Arabidopsis thaliana: one gene and its partners. The protein of the gene in region 2 interacts with the protein of the main gene of each other region in a pairwise test. Each region holds a gene or a part of one and is shown on either strand. Other genes may lie near its edges.

Region 1 (8,097 bases), on a different chromosome or scaffold from region 2:
TTTTGTATTTTTCGTTTTGAAATTCCATCATTATACTTACTCCATCATCATTACTTTATTTTTGTTTTCATTGTTGTGGTGTGGTGGCTTTATCTTTCTTTCTTTTTTATCCTCGCAACCAAAAAGAGCATGATTGTTCCTCCGTTTGATCATTGATTTTTTCTTTAAAGAAAAAATTGACATTTTTGGTAGAAAACGAAATAAATGCAGTCATGATTTTTGCTTAATGTAATTCCTCATTAAACGTGTGAAGCTGCACAACCCATGTGGTGTTGCAATGATTTAACCGCAACTATAATCATAACTTAGAGAGCTTTAATAATCTCCCTTCTTCTACTTCTTCTTCTTTTTTCTTTGTCATCTACCATAATTTAACTCTCTTTTTTTGATTAAACAGAACCAAGTTTTGTCGAGATGGAGAGGCTAAACTCGAAGCTGTACTTGCAAAACTGTTATATAATAAAGGAGAACGAGAGGTTGAGGAAGAAAGCTCAGATTCTGAACCAAGAGAATCAACAACTTCTCTTCGAACTCAAACAAAAGCTCTCGAAAACCAAGAACTCTAGTGGATCAAATCAAGGAAACAACAACAACAACAACAACCTCTCTTCATCAAGCTCTGCTTCTGGATAATCCTGATGCAACAAAACTCTTTAGGACAAGACTTGGATTCGGATAATTAGGAGAACCCATCATTTTTATTTTTTATTTTATTGGTGTAATGTAAGAAAAATTAGCTAAGTAATAGTGGTTAGTGGTAGTATTATTAATTATGGAGTAGTTTTTATATTTTTGTTGGGTTCTTCTAATTAAATTACTACAAAAAGGACAGAGTGTTGTATGCTCTCTGGCCTATCTTCTGAGGGATATTTTACTTTTGTTTCCATTTATATGTTAATTAGATTTTCTATTTTGCCTTTTCATGTGGGGTTTGGTTGTTTAGGACATGGTGGATTCTGGGACTACATTGTACCTTCTGCTCTTCTCTTAAACAACCAGTATCTTTAAATTATTTATTTATCTCTTTTATTATTGGGTTCTACATTTTCCTTTATCTTTTATAAATTTCATGGTCTTGAAATAACAAATTGTGAACAATAAGATTGGAAAATGTGACTTTTATTATTCAGTTATGTTAGTTAAGAGTTTTCTAATCTCGACCAGATTTATTTTCAAGGTACCATGTAATTGATATTAACAAATTTGTAAAGTGGTTGTTTTCTTTTAATTATTGAAATTTATATATGGATAAAGTAGTGATAAGGTCCATAAGGATATCAGAAGATACGAAAAAGTGTTTAGGAGAACATAGGTTTACCACCAATTTTAAATCACGTGATCAAAGTTGTATCCTATTGACTGTATCATATTAAAACGTCATTTATTACCTCCTTTACAAAAAAACAAATATTTCTTAATGAAATTTTGTGGTGTATTTTGCGATGATAAATTTAAAATGTAAGGTAAATAAATATTTTGAATTTTACTCACTTATTTATAATATAAATAAATAAACGTAAATTAACATAATTTTGCAAATTTTTAGTATTAGTGAAAATTTAGTTGATTTTTCTTTTTGTATTAGTTCCCTTTTTTTAACGGTTTGTATTAGTTCAAATACCAGCAATATTTATGCTCTCTATTATAAAAGCTCAACTTACAACTATAAAATAAGAATAGGATTTATGAATAGATCATAATAGTATTGGTCTTCATCTTTTTAAAACTATCCACATAAACAATAGTAATGAATCTCACTAGATAGTAGTAGTGTATAGTTTGGGTAAAATACATTTTAGAGTAGATTACTGCATATTGGTTTTGTCGAGGATGATTTTCCGGTTCAACAAATTCTGTTATATGCAAGCATAATCAACCACATCTTCTTTATGAAGAGATCCTCTCCCGTTAAATCACCGTTTACTTCACACAAACACAATATATGTGTAGTGTACAGATAATTTATTGACCATAAATTCAACTATCCAAGCTTCAAATTTCGTAGGAATATGACATAGTAATCAAGTGGTGGTGAGAAAATTACTGAGAGACCTACGAATCCTAGAAACATAATTTTCGTAACTCCTAAGTGAAAATCATCATCATAAACTCAGACTTTGAAAGTCAACTTTGAAATATAATTTTCAGAAAATTATATCCGTTTGATGATTACCCCCAAAATCTCTTTGGATGATCATCAAGCAAGACATCATCTTCTGAATCTCTGATGTAAGATTATGGACCTATGTTCAATTTCTAATCATTGTTTCTCTATTTTTATATATAAATCAAATGAATTTTGGCGTGTTGACATTGGACAATATAGTTTAGGTTAGACTTGGGGATGTAGATCATCCTTCTTCCTGTCCCTCCTAGGATAGCAAGAGAATCATTAGGGATAATACCGGAAAAAAATGGACAATTAGCCAACACTAATTTTGGAGACTTGAACCAATTATTATTATTATTATATATTTACAAGGAAAAAACTACATAAACTATCAAGAAACATTAGCTTGCAGTAAAAGACCATAATTCCAATATTGTGTCAAAAAATAGATTCTAAGACATGATGATATATAAAAAAAAACTTGGAGAAGTGTCAATTCCACAAACAATAGCCAAGCCAACACGGACAATCGTTGGTACTATCGTTGTACATGAGAGGCTTTGTTAAAGGAAAGAGAAGTAAGACGAACCCAACCACACCGCCTAAGAACGCTGCACTCACCAAACCTGAGAGAAGAACCATAACCATGTTTAGCTTATTCTTTTGCATTTGCATTTGTTAACAACCTTGAACTTTATGTCTTACCTTTTCCATTTGCGTATAGCACAGGCAATCCCATGTAGTTGCAAAATATATGAGCAAACAAAGGAGCAGCAAGATGTCCTGTAAAATTTACACAATGCAGGAGACAATCATCCATTAGAAAGGCTTTTACATGTATAAGATATATAAATGCCTGGAATGTTACCGGTTCTGATGAAGAGAAACGATGCATATGCACCAAAAATGACTGTGTAGCCAAGCTGAAGACCTGATCAACGGACAAGTGAAGCTCAGGACTGATCAACAAACAATATTATTATGATTATGGATGGCAAAGACATACCAACAATAAGTGAAGCCCGGAGATAGCTGCGGTTATGCCTGATGTACATCTCTCTAAAATGGTTTAAGTGAGCTACACAAAACATATAAAAGTCAGACAAATCCAGTAATTTTCTTTTCACTCGAGTTGTAAACTGTTATTCACAGAGAGAGAGAGAGAGAGAAAGAAACAAACCCAAGCTAAAGAGAACTGGGCACAGAAAGATGGCAGTGTTAATCCTAAACCCAGCACACAGAAGCAAAGGTATCATACATGATCGGAAAACCAGCTCCTCAGTTACTGGTGCCTGCAAATCATAAGAAACGCCAGCTCTAACAGATTATAACTTGTTCGATTTAGAACTTACTTATACACCAAACTGATGCATATAGTCCTCAGACAATTAGCAAGCAATGCCTTATGCAATTTCAATAAAGAATTGACAAGATAAGCACACAGAGATGGCAAACATATGATTACCACGATAAAATTGCGCCAAACGGAAACATTAGAAGCACTTGTCAATACCGAAGCAGGGATTGTTTGGAAAAAGCTTCTGATGTAATTAAAGGAACTACATCCTCCGCCATTTTCCTTCCATGATTCCAGGAGAGTAAACAACTTCAACACCAAAGACCCAGCATAAACGAGCGAGGTCAATAGAAGAGGATACACCACTCCTTGCCACTGTTCCATATCACAAAACATAACCATTTTAATATGAATAGTGTACAATAAGCTACGAGTAAACAAATTGAGACAAAGAACTTACCAGATGATCTTTCCTTATGCCATAAACTCCAAGTATATAAGAGGCCTCCCAGCTTTTTATCTAACATTACTCAAGCAAAAAAGGAAGACAAGTTTCAGAGATTCCTGTAACTAGCGTTGAATTGTACCAAACACAACATAGTCACCAATATTTGAGTGTTACATTCTTAGAGACAAATTGTGTGAACCTACAACAACTAGTAAAAGCTAATTCAACTCTCAACAAAGTTACAAATACATCAAATTTCTTTACTTTTAGTTTAACTTTCATCAAAACACCAAATGCATCTAGATTTGGACCTAATTTGGTTACAGATCAACGGAGAATGAACTTCAAATCGAGAAATGGCGGTACTCAAAGAAGCTTACCGGAAGTATAAAAGCTGTGAAGACGAGAGATGCTACAGTACAAATGGCCGCGCAGATGAATCGCCGAATCATGAATTCGGTGTAAGAAGAAGCCGACGGGAGACGGAGTATCACGGTGGGAACGTAAAGGATCAAAACGTAGAATAGTGCCATCGCGACGCAGGTAGCCACCGCCAACGACATCGAGATACTCTCGCCATCGGTGGCCATAATCGTTGAGGAAGCTCCGGCGAAGAAATATACCGGCTAATAAGTGTCGAAGTCACCGCTGGTTAAATCTTAGTCCGGCGGTCTTCTAATCTTTAACCAATTACATCGTGCCACGTTATAGACTAAAACGGATGACTACTGGGCCGAACAGACCCATTGGGCCAATTTCGTTTATAAAAGAGGGTATAACGGTAATATCATCAGAAGATATACGTCACCATGCCAGTTTCGAAGAAGCCTATTGGTTATATTTCGTCATTAACTAGACGGAATGACGAAACTACCCTCAGATGCCTTCTTCTAAAGTTGTCTCTTCACTGTCAAGAAGAAGAAGAGAACAAAAAAAAGAAAGGAATTTTCTCTGAAACGTCACGAACGTGTGAATTGGGTTAAAAAATTCATCTCATTGATCCAAACTTGAAACCCTAATTTCGAATCTCTTTGCTGATTTGGTGAGATCTCAATTTCGGAAAGAAGATGACGAAGGATTTCGCAGTTCCACCTGTAGTTTTCCCCTCCGGTGGATCTTCAGGCGGTGCTAATGTCCAGCAACGAAGATTCCCAGCGACACCGTTTCAACCGCCGCGTCCCTCTTCTTCCGCAATCCCTTTCATGTCATTCGACATTGGATCCGCAGCCGCGTCTTCCGCTACACCTGCCGGACCATTCGGCGGGACAATCGCTTCCTCTTCTTCTTTTGGTGGAGGTTCAGCTTCGTTTGAAGATGAGGAGCCATTACTCGACGAGCTCGGTATCCATCCAGATCAAATCTGGAAGAAGACTAGATCGATTCTCAATCCTTTTCGGATTAACCAAGCTGTTCACAAAGATTCAGATCTATCTGGTCCGATCTTTCTGTACCTTGCGCTTTGCTTATTTCAGTTGTTAGCTGGTAAGATCCAGTTCGGTGTCATACTTGGATGGATCGTCGTCTCCTCTATCTTTCTATACGTCGTCTTTAACATGCTTGCTGGTAGAAATGGGAACCTTAATCTCCATACGTGTACGAGCTTGGTCGGATACTGTTTGCTTCCGGTGGTGGTTTTATCGGCGGTGTCATTGTTCGTTCCCCAGGGAGCAGGGCCGGTTCGGTTTGTGCTTGCGGCTTTGTTTGTGTTGTGGTCCACTAGAGCCTGCTCTACATTGGTGGTATCTCTTGCTGATGGTGGAGAAGAGCACCGTGGCTTGATCGCGTACGCTTGTTTCTTGATCTATACTCTCTTCTCTCTTCTTGTTATATTTTGATTCCATATTGATAGATCGTGAATCACTTCCGATGCTGTGTTAGCAAGTAGCAAAAAAAGGCTGCAATATAAGTTCTTTGATGTGAGGTTGAATTGGGTGGGAATAGCACGGTGTGTAAAGGCTTTTTTGGATAAATTTAGAAAGGTGTTTAAGAAATTTGATTCAATGTTTGTATCTGTCACTTGATCTTTAAGGTTCTTACTTAAGAATTATTTATACAATTTGGTCGATATGTCTTTTGACATAGTTTGTTCCTGGACATTAGATTTGTGAGAGTATTGGAATTGATGTTGCGGATGATATGCTTCTGTACTAATGCAGAAGAGGTTTATATGCTTCCTATTTCATGTTTATTTTGCTATTTACTTTCCCGGTGTGAGGCTATGAAGATGTGCTGACTTCTTGCTTGGATTATACTTAAAGGTCCCAAGTTTTAGGAATGATTGGCATTAGATTTGCTTAAAGTATGGCTCCATGTAGGTAGAGTAGAATTTTGAGTTGGTTTTAGAGCTGTTGGAAACTTAGGCATAGTCTAATGAAAGAGTGATTAGTATTTAGTGGTTTGCTCGGTGTTGGTATGTTCCCTGATTAGGTGGCATAGATAAGTAGGGACATGGGATCTTGGCTTCAGGTTCGTCTTCTACTGTCAATCCCAGAACTGCACTTACTTTTCCTGATAGTATTTGCTGTGTCACGGAAATTAGAGAGAGATTTATCCGCAATTCATACTCTCTTAGATGGAATTTGTTTTAATGTGTCGAGAAGAATCAGCTATGTCCAATTGAGTGAGCATAGTATTTGTCAGCTTTACCTTCTCCTAAAACATTCAGTAGAACTGGTGTTAGAAATGATCTCTATATTTTCGTGTTGCAACACTCGTTCCGAGGGAACCATTTTTGTGTTCCACCTTTTCTTTAGAATCCAAATTGACTCAAAGGGGAGTAGGCAATTGTTTTAAACATACAATGTAAAGATGTAAAATTTCTGATATATCTGGTGGATGTACTTAAGACATACCCTACAATTTCGATCCTTGGACTCAATTGAAACCAAACTTTTAGGCGGCTTGGTCTCTCCCTTACCAGGATCTTGTCAAAGGAAACCATATATACTCATACTCACCTAGTTCTTCCATGATATCCAGATAGTGATAAACCATCTGATTAAACACTCGTAACACTTGCATATATTGACAAGATTATCTCTCAAGTGTCTATAAGATACGTATTTGTGTTTCAAGGTAAAATTGTAAGATATACATCTGATTAAGTATTCTTACTCTCAATTCTTTGATTATCAACATAGAGAACCCCTCTAGACCAAACCAAATCACTCCAACCTCTTGATGTTGCCGGTACGGCATTAGAGATTTCGGCAGCTGGTAATAGACAGTTGGCCAGTAAAACGCTACCTGTTCTCGCCGGTAATCTCTGGCAATCATACGGTGGAGATGTGGCCGTATCACTGACGGCCTCCAGGTTTATCTCGAACAGATCATCTTCGCCGTCTTCTTCACTACTTCCCTCGCCATCGTGTTCAGGTTCGTTTGCTTCTTGTTTCTCCTCTTCTTCTGTTCCACGGTTAACCAAACCAACACAACGTGTCATTGTTGATTTTGAAATAATTTCCGGTTTAAGAGTCCTTGTGGTTTTAAACTTGATTATGTGGTTAATACGTATATATAAAGGTGATTAAAGTAGAAGGTGGGTTAGTAGAACGGTCCTCAACGAATATACAACTATCTTTGTTGGGAATTTTTGGGTCTTCCAAAAGATTTTTTTTATACAAAGAAGAAAGTAAATTCCAAAAGAAATTTGTTATAGACTCGTGACTTGAGATCGAGAATAATAATAACTTGAGTACATTAAATGTGTACGGTGCAACAGTCACTGTTTAGATCTAACTATATTAATAGCTACTTCCGAATAATATATGTTTAGGACTTAGGAGCAAATGATAACTTCTCTTATTGTTTCTCAGTTCGTTGCCACAAACATGTAGTCACCAAAACGAGTCTATTTTTACTTGTGACTATAGCACAACATCCAATCGAATTACACGAACCGGTTCAAGATATTGAATCCTAAGCTTTTCTCAAAAGTCGATTCCAATTCCGAATGTAATTGTAGAGTGCATCAACGACATCATTGTCAAAAATAAATGATAATAATTATATAATGGTATTATACTATAAAAGGTTTTATGGAGGAGAAGGTACACCTAACACGAATCAAATATATACCTACCAACATATAAACACACACTCTTTTGTTTAATAAACTTTGCACAATTTTTATTTTCACTTTTTCCGTTTTTTCGGGTCTAATTTTCTATTTCGGTTGTAAAGATAATAACTTTTTTTCTATTATAATAATTTACTCGTAAATTAATCAACGAATTACGTGGC
Region 2 (8,097 bases):
TGTGCATTGAACATTGAGAAGCTTCTCCAAACAAGAATCGCTGAAGCAGTTCAGTTGCGAAAGAGTTTGGCACTTCCCTCGGCTAATACTAATGCTTATCGTCTTGTCAACAGTGAAGGAGATAGGTATTTCGCTGACTGATCCCGTCATTTTTTTTTTGTTTTAAACTCATTTTCTTACATTTTCTCTGGTCCTGTCTTATTGCTCTGCTGCAGATTGTCTGGATTGATTGTGGATGTGTTTGGAGATATAGCTGTGGTAGCATCCTCTGCTGCTTGGCTTGAAAAGTACAGGATTGAAGTGGAGAGTTGCTTAAGATCAATTGACGGAATTAATCATATAAACTGGAGACCTTCTCTTGATGTTCTTAAAGAAGATGGTTTTGACATCTCAAGTCTGAAACAGACACAATCATCTACTCTCCCACAGAGATCAATGGTACGGTGTGTGGTGCCCTTAATCAGGTCTTTCTCTCTTCTTCAGATATCTTCATGAATATGGCAACATTACAGGGGTGAGAGCTGAGTAATGTTTCTTATACCAGGTTGTGGAAAATGGGATCTCATACGCAATTTCGCTAGAGGGACAGAAGACAGGGTTCTACACGGATCAGCGCGAAAACCGTCACTTCATATCAACCATCTCTGCTGGTAAAAGAGTTCTTGATCTTTGCTGCTATAGTGGTGGATTTGCACTGAATGCAGCGAGAGGAGGTGCTACCAGTGTTATCGGTACATTTCATCTCTCTCCTCCTTCTGATCCACCTTATGCATTGTCTAGTGAATCGTCTGATCAAAACACTTTCAGGAATTGATTCATCTTTACCTGCTTTGGAGCTCGCCAGAGAGAATGTAATCCTCAACAATATGGATCCAGAGAAGGTTGTTTTCTTTAAACAAGATTCAACAGAATTCATGAAGGGTGCACTGTCAAGAGAAGAGACATGGGACATCGTGATCCTAGACCCTCCTAAGCTAGCTCCGCGGAAAAAGGTGGCGTAGAGTACCTTTCTTTCGTTTCTTGAAAATAGTGATTGTCATAGTTTGTTGTTACATAAATGAGATTGCATCAATGTGGGTTGCCAGGTTTTGCACAACGCTTCAGGAATGTACAGAAATCTCAACTCGTTGGCAATGCGATTGACAAGGAGTGGCGGTCTTATGATGACATGCTCATGTTCAGGGGCAATGACACAGAGCGGGAAGTTCTTGGGGATACTTCAGAGTGCTGCAGCAATGTCAGGAAGGAAGATCACAGTGGTGCGGGAGGCAGGAGCTGCGTCTGACCACCCACTCGACCCATCTTACCCTCAAGGCCAATATCTCTCCAACCTTCTGCTTCGGGTGCTGTGAGCGCACGGAAGTTTGGTTTGTTAGTTCAACTTTTTTTTGTCCGTAGTTTGTAACCATACATAGAAGACTTATAAAAGGCAGATTTGGGGACAAAAGTAATATATTAGACTGGTTTGGAACAACAACAACAAAGTATTATGTGGGATTTAAGCTCTCACCGAAGAAACCATTTTGCAAGCAAGGATTACATAGTATGTAAGCAAAAATTACATTGTATGTGTACATGGATGGATAAGATTTACACACGCAGATTAGAGCTCTCTCTCTCCCTTTCCAAGCTTGTTACCGACCTCCAGGATTTCTATTCCATGACAAGTAGGACGGATCTCCAAGACGCCTGAAACAATGTACACATTTGTTACTCAGCATAACACACTGCGGCTATATGTACACGAATATTTTATTATTATTATATTGGGATATATAAGACAGTTTAACAACCAAAACAACCAGGGTTTAGCCGAAATACAAGTCTTGCATAGAAGGTTACCATCACGACAACAACTACATTTGAAGGATTTGCGTACCTGGGTTTCACAAGGTACATGATGGTAAATGCGAGGGCCAAAATGAAACAGATCCCGCCAACTGTCAGGTAAGCAATGCCAAGGAAATCGTTCTTCCCACCCAGCCAACTAGTGGTTGACAAAACAAGCTTCTTCTTTCCATTGAAGCTGTACGTGTTGTAGTTGTTGTTCAGCTTAACGTGTATGGTGTCACCCATCTCGAGGTCAGACTCTATCTTTCCGTAAAGTTTTCTAAATGTTGGCAATGCTGCGGTTCTCATCCACACAATGAGATCTTCTTGTTCACTAAGCTGCACATATGAAAAGAGGAAGAAAGATGTCAGCGGTCAATATGCTAAGCAGCATCCATGTGATGTCAATGGCAAAATGGACTGATCTCCAGTATTGAAGGGTTTACCGGTATTCTTGGATCTAAAGTAGCACCACCTGTGATATTCCCCTTTTGAAAATTCTTGGGGAAGACCTTGTTCCCAAACTTGTGTTCCTTGTCACTCTTCCATGCAATGCCTTTTTTGTTCACAGCTAGGCTTACATTGTTTCTTGATAACGCGTATGTGTCGTTAAAAAGACTCCAAGCAATTAGACCACACGGCACAATCGGCTGCCCACCAACATCATCCTCAGGCTTGCATGCACTTATTTGATTCTCGTATTTTGTACTTCTCAACTGTGAATCACTTCGACTTTTTACATACCTGTTTCAAAGACACCATCGACGCATTAGAGCTATAAAATCTTGACTAATCTAAGTTAGATACACACATCAGTCCTAGTTCCCGCCTACTCCATGATATCGGTGTTGATTTCCACATAGAACCCACATTGTTCATTATAGGTCTAATACAAAATTATATAATGCTACGGCGTAGTTGCTAACAAGTGTTATATACCTTCGGTGATTCTGGTAGAAATTCTCAAGTTGGTAATAAACATAGATAGGTTGCTTCATACGCTTTGTCACCTATGAATGCCAGTGGAGAAAAAGAGAAAGTAAACAACAAATGCAAAAATCTATCAAATCTCAAAGAACAAAACAAACGTGGCGGCAGAAGTAACTCACTTTAAGATCCCGGTTACAAACTTTATCTCCATCTCCTTGAATATATGCAACCTTGTTAGTCCTAGCAGGTGCCGGAATGCACTCAGTATCATACCGATCAACGATCTCCACAACCTAAACATGGGAGATGAAACACGTGAGATATGGAAGAGAATCTGATGAGTAGCAGCAATGCTTTAGTAACTACTTACATCCTGGGAAGCGAAAAGGGAGATAACTCCAAGGGGAATAAAGATAACACTGACTATCAAAAATGTCGAAATGACCTGCACAACAGCACAAACATGTAAAAAAAGGAGCTTTTAGTTGCGCCTTGTACAGAAATCAGATGTCTCAAACATCAATAGAGATTAGAAAGAAATCTAACCCAACCAGGGGTTAGAATTGGCTTGCAAGCTGGAAGCTCCTGCTGTGTGAACTTCGAATCTGCAAAAGATATTTGCCAACAAAATCACACCTTTTAGCCATAGCTTTGACCATGGTTCCCTAACCATCTTTGTAACGACAATTTTGCAAAGAATTTGAGCTAATCCAAAGCTGTTAACAAATTGTTATTGAAAAACTAGCAAGTCCAGAGAGAATTTGATCCAATTCGAATAAGACAGAAGAGTCAACGATAAGCCATAATGAATAATCGGAAGAAGATAGCGAAGGGAAGATGATAAATACACTTGGGTCGCTTTGAATTCTTCCTAGCGGCGGAAGAATCTCCCGATCCGGCTGCCCCCGCGCTGGACGACGCCGTATTGGAACTCATGGCGGAGAAAACGACGATTACTAAGCCAAGCCTTGAGGGGATTATTCCGGAATCTAAGGAGACCGAGATCGGAGGAAAAGGTGAATCGGACAGAGAGAAATCGGGAAGAGAAAGTAAAATGAAGAGGAAGAAGAAGAACAAGGGGAAGACGAAGATTCGTCGTCGTTAACAGAAAGAACCGGTATTATTCCCATATTGACGTCAAAATGAAAGGCCCACTTTGTGGGCTTTATAATGGGCTTTACTCTATTTTGTTGAGTTGAAGCCCAAAATCTCCCATGCATCATAAAATGTTTTTAAGTTCTACAAATTTTTTGATTTGGAACGTTTTTCCTTCAAATATTGGATACAGTAAAACCTCTATAAATTAATAATGTTCGGACTGCAAAATTTTATTAATTTAGAGGGGTTTTAATTTATCGATAATTTAATATTTATTAATTAATAGAAAATTTTTCCTAATTTAGTAACTTTTCAAAAATTTGTATAAGATTTTTTTTCATTATAGAAAATATCTTTCAAGAATCAATTACAAGTAAAAAATAATATCATATTTAGAAAATAACACCAAAAGTTTTTGATATAGTAAAATACTAAAACTATATTTCAAATAAGGATAAATACAAATTTAAGCAAACAAATATTAGAATTATATTTCAAAGAAATTTCTTACATATAATGTATATATATAATTGATACATTTAAATAATTATTAATTTATGATATTGATGAGACCATATATTTATATAGGATTTTCAAAAAAATTATTATCTTATTAATTTATCGATTTGTGTCACTTTTTATACTGATCCCAACTCGGAACCAAAAACATTTCTTAATTTATAGAGATTATTAATTTATCGAGTATTAATTTATAGAGGTTTTACTAGAGTTTATACTTTAGAGGATGGGATTATGATCAGTGTTAATTGATGAATACAAAATTTAAAAAGTTTAGTATGTTTTATTGCAAGTTTATGCATATACGATCATGTTGAATTTCAAACGAACAAATTATTATCTTATTATATGTTTGGATTTGAAACTGCAATATATATATATATATATATATATATATTTTAAAGATTCATTTATAGTAAGATTGTTTTAGGGATAGTATAATAAGAATGATTAAATAATCTTGCATTTGAGAGAGATCAATGTATGACCTAGACAAAAACGATGATTCGTCTTCAAGTGAAAACTATTAGACCACTATCACTTGGTTAAATTAAATTAAAAGTATCATAAACTAGAGATTTCTTCATGATAATGTTGTTTGTATCTTCCAAATCAATCACAAACTATATATAGTATCATAAACTCGAGATGTCTTTAATCATTGTCTTGTAATTCTCATCTTTTTTAATAAAGAATTTATTTTGTTTGTAGTGAAATTTGTCTCGATTTTTCTCTCTTCTTTGTTTTCAGCTTCTTTTCTTGAGAATTTTTTCTTTATTCATTCAGATTTTAAAACTTTTGTTTCATATTCATAACACATATATATAGTTAAATAAGATATTGATCCGCAGTCGGACATATATAATCCGAAAAGTTTTCCAAATTTGCGTTGCCATGACGCCCATGCCAGATTTTAAGTCTACAAGTATGCAAACCAATAAGTAATGTCGATCGATTACACAATTTTTACTTCCGTTTTCCCTCCTATATATGACAAAACCAACCAACTCTAGTGATTAAGTACCATACACACCTAATGATAAAAATTAAAATAAAATAATGCAATTTCTTTTTGTGGTAGAAAAAATAATTCCACAAACCTCCTCACCCTTTTTCACCAGTCAAACTAATTCATAAGCAAAAAACAAGTAAAAAAAAAAATACTATATATGAAGTACCCGAGTATATTTAAATAAGTTGAGAAAAGAAGTACTAGATGATAGTATGAGATATGGATTTATCAAAGGGAAGCGGGGAAAGTGGCGGAAGAAGAGAAGATTTCGTCAAGTGTCCCGTTCATAGAGTCTCTGCATTGAAAGTCTTGTTGGATTGACATAATCTCTGCTTCGTTCATAGAAAGTTGAGGGAAATCTTGGAGTTGAAGAGGAGGATGATATGGAAGCTGATGAGAATAGTTTGAGAAAAGATGATCATGATCGTCCAGAAGAGAAGATGAGAAATGAAGAGCAAATATGGATGAGCTGTTTGCTTCGTCTAAAAGGACCCCTTGAGTTAGCTCTGATGAAGATGTCTCCGCGGATGCTCTTTTCAAGCTCTCGTCTTCAATATAATTACCATCACATTTTCTCCACTTCTTCTCCTTTTCTTCTTCCTCTTCTTTTCCTACACTAGTGCTCTCTTCTTCTGCTTCTTCTTCTTCCCCTTTTCTCTTTGGAATTTGTATGTTCTTCTTAAACACTCGGCACAATGCATACGACTCCTGTTTTAGATCAACATTAATATTAGTCGATATGGTTTATCAAAAAAAAAAAAATTAGATCAGAAATGAATATAGATATATATGTTAATAGAAGTTTGTGCATGGGAAATAATTTACCTTCAAGGAGGAGGAAGGAGCGTGCGTGAGACGATATTCATGCATGACCCAATTAGTACGAAGGCCATGAGGAGCCCTTCCTCTATAATAAACCAGTGTCTTCTTCATTCCCATCTTCATCTTCTTTGATTCTACTGTACGATCTTTCCCCGTGGCCTTCCAGTAACCCGCTCGGGTCGCACGGTTCGTCCTAGAGCCATTTGGATACTTCTTATCCCTTGTGCTGTAAAAGTACCATTCCATGTCGTTTCCCGGCAAAAATGACTTTTCTGTTCCGCGTATTATCCAAATAAATAACTCATAAAACCTCCAATATCATATGTATGAATGCATCATGACCAATATATGTAATCTATAACGTCAGATTGACATAAACAAGCTGAACCATATATAGAGAGAGATATAAAGAGTTGGATCGTACCAGGCAAGTCCCATGGCTCGCATTTATAAAGATCAACTTCTGGGATGATCTCGAGCTCAATGGCTTGGCCGTTGACCTTCCTATCAAGATAGTAAGCCACCAGTTCTTCATCAGTGGGATGAAACCTGAATCCTGGAGGCAAACTCATGGGCGCCATTCAAAGTGTATGCGTTAGAAAACGAGAGAGAAAGAGATGAGAGAGATTAATTAAAGTGATTAGGATGTTCGTACGACATATGAAGGTGACTATATATAATTAAAAAGATGAGACTCTGAAGAAGATATGATATGGGAATGTGTAAAAGTATGCCATGGGATTGGCATCTTCTGAGATTAATATTTTGTCTTACTTTGGGTTGCTTTTTGGTCAGTGTTTGTCATGATACTCATCACACATATTTTCTAAAACCAATATATATATTTTAAATAAAAACCTAACTCTGGCTTTTGAAGATTCTGCAAGTGTGAAAACCCTAGTAGGAGGAGAGACGGAAAAAGCTTTAGCAAGAAGGCCCCATCTCACAAATACTCACATATATGAATGTATATGCTTATAATTCCGGTTAGACCTTAACGTGGGTCATGAATCATTATAGAGGGATTTTTATAACGTTTGCTTTAAACCAAAAATGAAGGCTTTTTATGATTCAACAGTTTAGGGGACCCATCTCTTCTTCTCAAACCAAATCTACCTGGCGACACCTAAACACTCGGCTTTTTCTTTTCTTTTTTTTTCGGTTTGACAGTTTTGTTATATTGTTTTATGTTGTTATGGTCTTATAATAAGAATACTTATAAATTGAATTCATATATATGATTAAAAAATGGGAGAATAAAAAAGCAGGAGGCATCCAAGTCGACTTTGGCTTTAGTGTTGGGAGGCTTCTTTAGTCCCTTTTACATATGGATTAAAGACGTTGTTCGGCTCTTTTACATCATTACTCCCACACAATCTTTGACTCTCTTTCTCTCGGCCCTTCAATTTTACTAACTTCCGGTCAAATCTCTTTTGCCTCGACTCTCGGCCTCGATCCAAAAGATAAATTAAAAAAATAAGGACATCTTCATTCTTCACATGTATGATATATATAACTCATGTCATATATTAGATGTCTCGTTTACATGGTTTTTTTTCGTTTGCTAATATATATAATTCACATGTAGACGAAGAACATTGTAAACGGAATTTAACAGAATGAAGTAATCAAACGTTTTATGTAAGGAAATGATCAAATACTGAGGGAGTCCACAAGTTGCGACATATATAAAACTCCTCCATTCTTATAAAGTATAATATTCAAACTTCAAGTAAGTAACTCTCCCTTTTCCGTGAGAAAGAAATAACAATAACATTTTAGGGAAGCTTTAAGATGTGGTCACCAATAACTTAGGGAGAGAGAGAGAGAGTGACAGATACAAAAAACAAAAGATAGCAACTGAAAAATATTTTGGCGAAAGATGC
Region 3 (8,097 bases), about 15 Mb from region 2:
ATACCTCCAGTAGACATGTTCACACATGGCTTCCATTCTACACCTTTATAGGAACGCTTCCAAATTGTTGATATCTTAAATGAATACAATTGCATTGACGATACATGACAAATGGGAACAAGAAAAGAACAGAGATCAATCTATGTTCAACATTGTTATACGTTCTCCTAGATATTATACTCTAATTGGATCAATCTATGTTCGACAATGGCCACATTCTCAAAACGATATCACAAGCGGGATAAAACGGAGGCAAACCTCACCGCATCAGCCGTGGTATTATCGGCTTCAATCTCGCCGCGAAGCCTAGCGTAAACCTGAGGGCTCCGGTAGACGGATCCCGGAGCAGGACGGCGGTGGATAATGGGAGAGGCATCAAACGACGCCGCGTGTAGGTGAAAAAGCATACAGGAGATGTAGATGATAGGAGCGAAAAGGAGAATTCCCTGACGCCGGAGAAGAACAGATAAAATGATCCATGAGAGACGGTGAGCGACGTTCCGACTTTGCTGTTGCCCGGAGACAGAGGAGGATTTCGACCGGCTCCGGCAGAGATGAGGAGATGTTGGCGGAGAAGGAGTAGTGTGATCGCTTCCCGGAAGCCGATTTTGAATCGACAGATCTCTCTCCACCTGGGAAATCATTGTTTCCCTGCTCTCTCTCTCTCTTCTCAATGCGCTACGCCATTAACGATATAATGCATTGCTTGTAACAATGGCAGGTGGCAAACGCCGATTGAACGGATTTATCCCGGCGGCGAAACTGTGAGTGAAGTAAGCAAAAGAGAGAGAAATTTTATTTATGTTATGTATGTATGCGCTCGTGCGGTGGAAGCATGATCGATTAATCACATGTACTTGAGTATTTATTTGGCTTTTCTTATGTGTTATAGTTCTTTAGTCTTTTTCTTTCTTCAATTCTTTGATTTCAGTTTCTATGGAAAACTATTGTTAAACGTGAGAATTCAATGCATCGGTTTCTACGTATGGTCTAATTTGTATTGGCAGAGAGACTTGTCCAAAAATAGCAATGAGTTTCATACACATTTTTCAGTTTTTGGTTAGAAAGATGAAATATTTTCAATCAACCAACCTATACTAAATTTGAAGGTGCGACAAGACAATATACTACAGTTGTCTTATCATCCAAACGAGTGGGTTAAACAACTGAAAATCCAAAATTAGTAGTTTTCCAACCATTGTGAAAAGGAAATCAAAAGACACAACTTTCAGAATGCATAGACATGGACCTACTTCTCGACCTGATTCAGTTGTCAATATGTGAAGAAGGAGATGCTATATAAAAAAAGCCATGCGGCCAAATGAGCTTATTTCTTTTGTTATAGCATGATCATGAATAAGCAAAGTCAACTAAGCTATCGTCTACATTGGCTATTGAAGTTGCTGCCTAAACGTAAACGAAAAGCATCCACAGATTACGGAAAAGCACAAAATGAGAAGATGCAACACTTGGGTTATCCATGTGATTGATGCCCATTTGTAAAAATTCAAAGACAGGTTCATAAAGGTAGATTCAATGATAAACGACAACAAAGTCCAACCACATCTTCAAGATAAACTAATTTATAAATGACTTCTCCTCATAACACAAACACCAACATGAACCCTCGTGGTTAAGTTGGCAAGCTTAGCCTTTTCAATCCTCGTGCAAAGTTCCCAAAACATCCTCGTCCCGGAAGAGATGGTACCTGCGTCCATCACACAAACACAAAAGTTACTCACTTTGAGTCAAATTCTTCTTCATTTGTAATTTCTTATTCGTTTCTAAAATCAACCCACCAATCAATATGTAAATCTGGTGTTCAAATTGGCATTATTAAACATTGATCAAAATGTTTTTAAATCCTCTGTTACAAAATTTTCAATATCTTCACAGTCTTACAAGTAATTCCCTTAGTTCCATCCATTAATCTAATTAATGGATAATGATTCCTGAACATGATTAGCTAAACATAAAGGTTCAATTAGATCAGATCAGAATTTTATCAGAATATTAGGGCAATAATAAGAAAGAAGCGGGTTTAACTTACTCGTTCTCGCCGAGCTTGACCTGTGTACCACCGTACTCTGGAAGAAGAACAGTGTCGCCTTCCTTCACAGAGACCGGAATCAATTTCCCGTCCTTATCCCTTGATCCAGGTCCAACAGCTATCACCTTGCCTGAGTTCAGCTGCAATCACCCAAAAATATGTTTATTTTTCAGATCTAAGAGGCGAAAATCAGAAGAATCAAATCGTGAAATCAAAGCTCTTTTACCTTGGAGGATTTCTCAGGTAGGAGAATGCCGCTTTCGGTTTTAGCGGGCTGGATGACTCTCTGCACCAAGATGCGGTTGAACGTTGGGATCAGACGCTTCATCATTTCTCAATTCTTCTTCTCTCTCAGTTGATGAATCGGAATTTTCTAGGGTTTCTGAGTTTTTAATTTGGGGCAGAGACACATAAGACGGAAGGTTCTAGATCGTAGGGTTTAGCGCGACAGAAAAAGGCCAAGGGTTTTGGGATTGTTTGGGCCTATAATATCATACTATTTCTTTAATGGGCCTCACTCATTAAAAAAAACCAGTCGCATTTGTGTTTGTCTAAATAAATTCTTGGAAGTGTTGTATGACCTTGCAGCTCAAATGGTTAGTTCCTTCCATGATTCTCTTTGCCAAGTTTTTCAAACTCCATGTACAATCCCATTTCATATACCACATCCAGAATGAGATGTTTATTTTCGGCAGATTTTTCGTGGAATGAAATCTTGACCTTTCTTTTATCAAACGTCTCTGCTGATGATGGAAAGCTTCTTGCTCTGTCAGTTTTCCCCATTTCTTTCAAGGTGGTAACCAAAGTTTTTCCCCGGATTGTTGCTTTGCTATGCTATATGTTTATTACATTGTGCCTCTGCGGGAATTACATGCTCTTAATTTTCAGAGTACAAATCTGAATAATCCATGTAAGCCAATGGTACGGTTCCGGACTTATACAAACACCATACAAATGTTCCAAGATACCAGGATTCGAATTTGCTATAACAAGATTAGGCACAAAGCTGAAACAAAGAGAGCTGGCGCCACTAGCCACTTCCATCGAGTTGGCCTTGAGATAGAAGGTGAGCCATGTATTGCTGCATTCACAATAAAATGAGCTCAATTCTTGGTTCTAACCCCACATGATTCGACAAACATTTCTATCAATGGCACCACAAAGTCAGTACCATCAAGATTCTAGACTTATGGAAACTGACCTTTACAACACTAAAATATCCGCACCACAGAGATTATCATAAAGAGATTGAAGAAACTTACGGAGTGGTAAACGTATGGAGATTTTCCCTGGCGATCAAAATGCTTAGCCATTATGCAGAATTCAACAGGACCCCAATCTTCAGATTCATAGCAATTCCCAAGCGCCGCTTTGTACAGCTTTACTCCAATAAACCCCAATCATCAGTTCCACACAGAACTAATCAACTATATAAACTGTAAACGACAACTCAAAATTGTCATCAAGGACAAACCTTAGCTGTGTCGGTCAAAAGTTCGGTGCCAGCAGGGTAAGATGCATAAAACTGATCTCCCCTGGAATATCCTGCTCTTGTTCTACACAACATTCGAATCAGTAACATTAAATCAAATTAAACCTGAAGCAGAAACCAAGAGAAGAACCCAGAAATTGAAATCATCTGCGAATTCCGATATTGAAAAGAAAGAACAACCAAAAGAAGCAAACTGAGATCGGACGAAAGACATTACGTGTTGTTTGTATAGAAGAATGTGAGGGCAGCAGTGAAGCAGTAGAATCCGGCGTAAGAGACAGCCCGTCGTAGCTTCTGGATCTTTATAACCTCTGAGCAAACATCCAAGATCATCATCTTCACACCTTCGGAAACTCTTTCAGGTATTATATCGAACACCTTGTGATCACTTTACCAAACAGAGATGACGAGTAGAAGAAGCATCTCACGAAATTTGCAATTGACAAATTGTAAACGCTTTGTATTGTCCAACTTTTTATGGGCCTATCTGACCTTTTTCTCTTTTCGGCCCAATAAAACTTTTAGATTTTATTTCTTTTGGCAACAATAAATTTAAAATAATATACATTATGGAAAATCATCTACAAACAAAAACCTTTAAATTAAAAAACTCACATGTTAATGCAATTAGGTTAGTAAGCAAGCACGTCTTGACAAAAATGTTATTGTTACACATTTAAAAATTCACATGTTATACAAGACAAAACATAAACGTAATGTTTTGCAGTCAAATAATGAAATAAATGAAATAATACAAAGGGATCTTTATGTAAAGGCGTCACCAATTAGTGGAAATAATGGAGCAAGCCACTACACTCTTCATATTGCTTTCCACTCTCCTCCTCGCCGTCTCCGTTGAGTCTCCTCAGCCACCGCTATTTCCCGATGAAGCTCTCCCCACTAAATCTGGCTACCTCCCGGTTAAACCCGCACCCGGCTCGTCCATGTTCTATGCCTTCTACGAAGCCCAAGAGCCAACCACACCTCTTCCTGACACTCCGCTCCTCGTTTGGCTCCAAGGTGGGCCAGGCTGCTCTTCAATGATTGGCAACTTTTACGAGCTCGGTCCCTGGCGTGTAGTTTCACGCGCCACAGACCTCGAGCGCAACCCCGGCGCATGGAACCGTCTATTCGGACTACTTTTTGTGGATAACCCAATAGGAGTCGGATTCAGCATCGCAGCCTCACAACAAGACATACCCACAAATCAGAGACAGGTCGCTGAGCATCTTTACGCCGCTCTCGTGGAGTTCCTTGAACAAAACCCAAGCTTCGAAAACCGACCGGTTTACTTCACTGGAGAGAGCTACGCCGGGAAGTACGTTCCAGCCATTGGATACTATATCCTTAAAGAGAAACCCAATGGGAAAGTGAATCTAAAGGGGCTAGCCATTGGAAACGGGCTGACCGACCCGGTGACCCAGGTTCAAACCCATGCGGTCAACGTCTACTACTCGGGTCTGGTCAACGCAAAACAGAGAGTTGAACTGCAAAAAGCGCAGGAGATATCTGTAGCTCTCGTGAAGTCCCAGAAATGGCGTGAAGCAGCAGACGCGAGGACCGAACTGTTGACGCTACTAAGTAACATGACAGGACTCGCGACGCTCTACAACACGGCACGGGCGATTCCATACAGAACAGACCTCGTGGTGGACCTCTTGAACCAGAGAGAAGCAAAACGTGTTTTGGGAGTGAGTGAAACGGTTCGTTTTGAGGAATGTAGTGATGAAGTAGAAGATGTGTTGCGGGCAGACGTGATGAAGAGCGTAAAGTTCATGGTGGAGTACGCATTGGAGAGGACTCAAGTCTTGCTGTATCAAGGTATGCTTGATCTAAGAGACGGCGTCGTTTCGACGGAGGAGTGGATGAAGACTATGAACTGGTCAGGATTGGGAATGTTCTCGACGGCGGAGAGGCGTGTGTGGAAGGATGAAGACGGTGTGGTCGCTGGTTATGTTCAGAGATGGGGGAATTTGTGCCACGTGGCGGTTACAGGAGCTGGTCATTTTGTTCCGACAGATAAAGCTGTGAATTCAAGGGATATGATTGAAGGTTGGGTTTTGGGGAAAGGATTGTTCGGTGGTAAAGATGTGAAGCAGACAACTTCGTCGAGCTTATACCATTCAATCTAAATATTGTGTACTTGTACTTAGTTCTGTAAGATTCAATTCAGATTCTAATTGTACTCTGGATTTAGATTTGTTACGTCATGTTCACAAGTTCATTTTAGTACGAATTGGTAACTTTTGCTACTTAGTTTATCATTTGCCTGTTCCTGAAGTCTTAAACTTTCTCAAAAAAGTTAGCATACAGTATACACTTAAGGATTGATTCAGATAAACTGTTTTGGTAAGAATAAGGAGATTTGAAGCATAAACTAAAGAATTTTTAAAAACATGTAATGGCGATTGGAGGCGGGATTGTGAATGAGATTCAAAGTGATTTGAGTATAAAAAATACACAAAACACAGAGAAAGCACAAAGAAACCCGTACTATGAAGCCATTTTGGTATTAGGGAAAGAAGAGCAAGGGCACCCCGTAGAAAACCTACAGGTATTTCAGAGCTATTTATCAAAATCTCTCCCCTGTTTTTTGCCTCTTTCCCGATTCAATTTTCTCGGAAAAACATTCGCGGAAAACAGAAAGAAAACTACTAATCATATGAAAATCAATCTTTCGCCTAATTGTTGAGAGAATGATATTCAGAACATCGAAAAATTGAAACAAAATTCATTGGAACCCTAATGACGGCTCCTGCTAAAACCTGTGAAACTCGCAACTTTATAGTGCGAAATTAGGAGAGTTAGGGCGGACGATAATCCTTTTAGTTGGGCCGAGAAAAAATTGGGTTCAGAGTTAGGTAACTATTAAGCCCATTGGGCTACTGTGTATAATCTATGTCCATCGTTTGACCTCACCATTGTTAGAACAAACAAAAAAAATAGACATCACTTCACCATTATTTCTTAAATTAATGTTAAGTATGAGAGTACCCCATGATTCCTTAATTAATCATATGGATTGATTCGTACGTTTTTTGGATGTAAACAAAGGAGAGGTCAATGTACATATAATTATTGGTTGATAAATTATGAGGATAGTACGTTAATGGGATTGACATTTAATGATATCTCCAATTTAACACCGATCCATCTTTTTCATCGGAGCTTCATGTTTGATGTTTTTTTATTTGGCCGTGTCGACAAATTTGTAAAAGACGTGTAAAGCTGAAATTGAGAAGAAACAAAAGTGAAATTGTAAGGAAACGTGATCGATGGTGACCCCATCAATATTACGATAAGGTAACGCGCTAAAGCAGCCTTAGCCGTTTTTATTAAATATTATCCAAATATAACTTATAAATAATCCCACCAATTGTGTCTCCTAAGCAACAGAAAATGGAAATGATACTGATCTCGTCATCGACACTCAGGTTCCATCCATTGAGGACATCACAAAGAATCGCCACCGGAACCAATAGAAGACGAACCACCACCGTGTGTGCAGACTACTACAGAGGAGGAAGAACGGTGGACGAGAACATGGTGGTCCTTAGGAAACGAATCCATGAGATGAAGATGGTTGAACGCAACTTTGAACCTCCTTCTCATTGGATGCAATGGGAGAAACGTTTCTACTGCAACTACGACGCTACTATATGTGATGCACTCACTCTTCTCCAAACTTTTCTCATGAACTCTCGTCCCAGCGTCGCGTTTGGAACGTGTCTTCTTCTCCTCGTCAGCGTTCCCGTCTCCTCCGCCGTTTTTGCTTTTCGCATCCTTGATCTAGCTCTTTGGCTTTTGGACGCCGTTCACGTAGTATGATCCGTAAATATCTTTGTTATTTTATCTAGAAACTATCTTTGTTATTTTATGTCGAAATTAAGGTAATTTTCCAAAACTAAAATGGAATTATTTATTATCAACAAATACCTTGAGAAATTCTATAATGATTTTGTTTAAAGAATCCTAATTTCATCTTTTTTGGAAAAATAAAAATAAAAAAAATCCGTACTTCATATGATTTAGGAAAAAAAAGTAATCAGTGTGAAGTAGTAGAAGAAAATCCTTGCTTCATATGACTAGAGATCCGTTGATTATTCGGAATACCGGAAAACTAGAGTCTCTCAGATCTGTTGATTTCTCAATACAAGAAACGAAAAAACGTGAAGAATTCGTTGATTCTCTGCGAATACCGAATCCTACGTCTTCTTATAATCGTTGAAATCTTTCAAGATCTACCGAAAAGAGAAGAGTATTCTAAAAACTCTTTAATTTAATTAATCAATTAACTGAATACAAAAGAATGTATAAACGGCTTATTTATAATAAAACCCAAAAATCAAAATAAACAGTAAAATAATCATATAATTATCTAAAATATAAATAATAAATAATATGGAGGATAATGATTGAAGATATTTGAAAATTATCCTAGTTACGCGCTGCAGTGTATATAAACTCTCAATGGATAGTTATCAAAAGAGTATGTAGCAAATAGAAAAGAGACGAGACAATTCAATGGACGTAACGTTACCTCATCATGTGGTAG

The links.
Region 1: the proteins of AT1G54320 (region 2) and FACE2 interact in a protein complementation assay, tested with the Arabidopsis thaliana proteins (one large-scale study listed by BioGRID).
Region 3: the proteins of AT1G54320 (region 2) and AT1G14990 interact in a protein complementation assay, tested with the Arabidopsis thaliana proteins (one large-scale study listed by BioGRID).

What each region holds. Positions count from the first base shown.
Region 1 is NC_003071.7:15,210,955-15,219,051, reverse strand, and holds FACE2 (farnesylated protein-converting enzyme 2), read right to left. Parts: upstream 4,667-8,097; 5' UTR 4,446-4,666; coding exon 4,236-4,445; intron 3,928-4,235; coding exon 3,868-3,927; intron 3,783-3,867; coding exon 3,576-3,782; intron 3,403-3,575; coding exon 3,291-3,402; intron 3,189-3,290; coding exon 3,117-3,188; intron 3,042-3,116; coding exon 2,979-3,041; coding exon of another isoform or gene 2,923-2,978; exon of another isoform or gene 2,894-2,922; coding exon 2,816-2,893; intron 2,737-2,815; coding exon 2,603-2,736; 3' UTR 2,439-2,602; downstream 1-2,438. Other genes in the region: AT2G36300 (Integral membrane Yip1 family protein), read left to right, coding at 4,923-5,690; AT2G36295 (uncharacterized protein), read right to left, coding at 6,956-7,297. UniProt on the Arabidopsis thaliana protein: Protease involved in the processing of a variety of prenylated proteins containing the C-terminal CAAX motif, where C is a cysteine modified with an isoprenoid lipid, A is an aliphatic amino acid and X is any C-terminal amino acid.
Region 2 is NC_003070.9:20,274,098-20,282,194, forward strand, and holds AT1G54320 (LEM3 (ligand-effect modulator 3) family protein / CDC50 family protein), read right to left. Parts: upstream 3,885-8,097; 5' UTR 3,697-3,884; coding exon 3,609-3,696; intron 3,366-3,608; coding exon 3,307-3,365; intron 3,206-3,306; coding exon 3,131-3,205; intron 3,054-3,130; coding exon 2,940-3,053; intron 2,841-2,939; coding exon 2,770-2,840; intron 2,575-2,769; coding exon 2,277-2,574; intron 2,170-2,276; coding exon 1,880-2,169; exon of another isoform or gene 1,718-1,879; intron 1,690-1,717; coding exon 1,635-1,689; 3' UTR 1,437-1,634; downstream 1-1,436. Other genes in the region: AT1G54310 (S-adenosyl-L-methionine-dependent methyltransferases superfamily protein), read left to right, coding at 1-125, 216-438, 545-731, 808-992, 1,086-1,352; NAC020 (NAC domain containing protein 20), read right to left, coding at 5,618-6,097, 6,215-6,483, 6,636-6,792. UniProt on the Arabidopsis thaliana protein: Required for the lipid transport activity of the ALA/ALIS P4-ATPase complex.
Region 3 is NC_003070.9:5,164,274-5,172,370, forward strand, and holds AT1G14990 (uncharacterized protein), read right to left. Parts: upstream 3,992-8,097; 5' UTR 3,879-3,991; coding exon 3,760-3,878; intron 3,607-3,759; coding exon 3,525-3,606; intron 3,430-3,524; coding exon 3,313-3,429; intron 3,252-3,312; coding exon 3,222-3,251; intron 3,132-3,221; coding exon 3,081-3,131; 3' UTR 2,758-3,080; downstream 1-2,757. Other genes in the region: AT1G14970 (O-fucosyltransferase family protein), read right to left, coding at 5-74, 264-644; CPN10 (chaperonin 10), read right to left, coding at 1,657-1,708, 2,051-2,190, 2,277-2,381; scpl50 (serine carboxypeptidase-like 50), read left to right, coding at 4,340-5,674; AT1G15010 (mediator of RNA polymerase II transcription subunit), read left to right, coding at 6,942-7,370; AT1G15015 (F-box family protein), read left to right, coding at 8,067-8,097.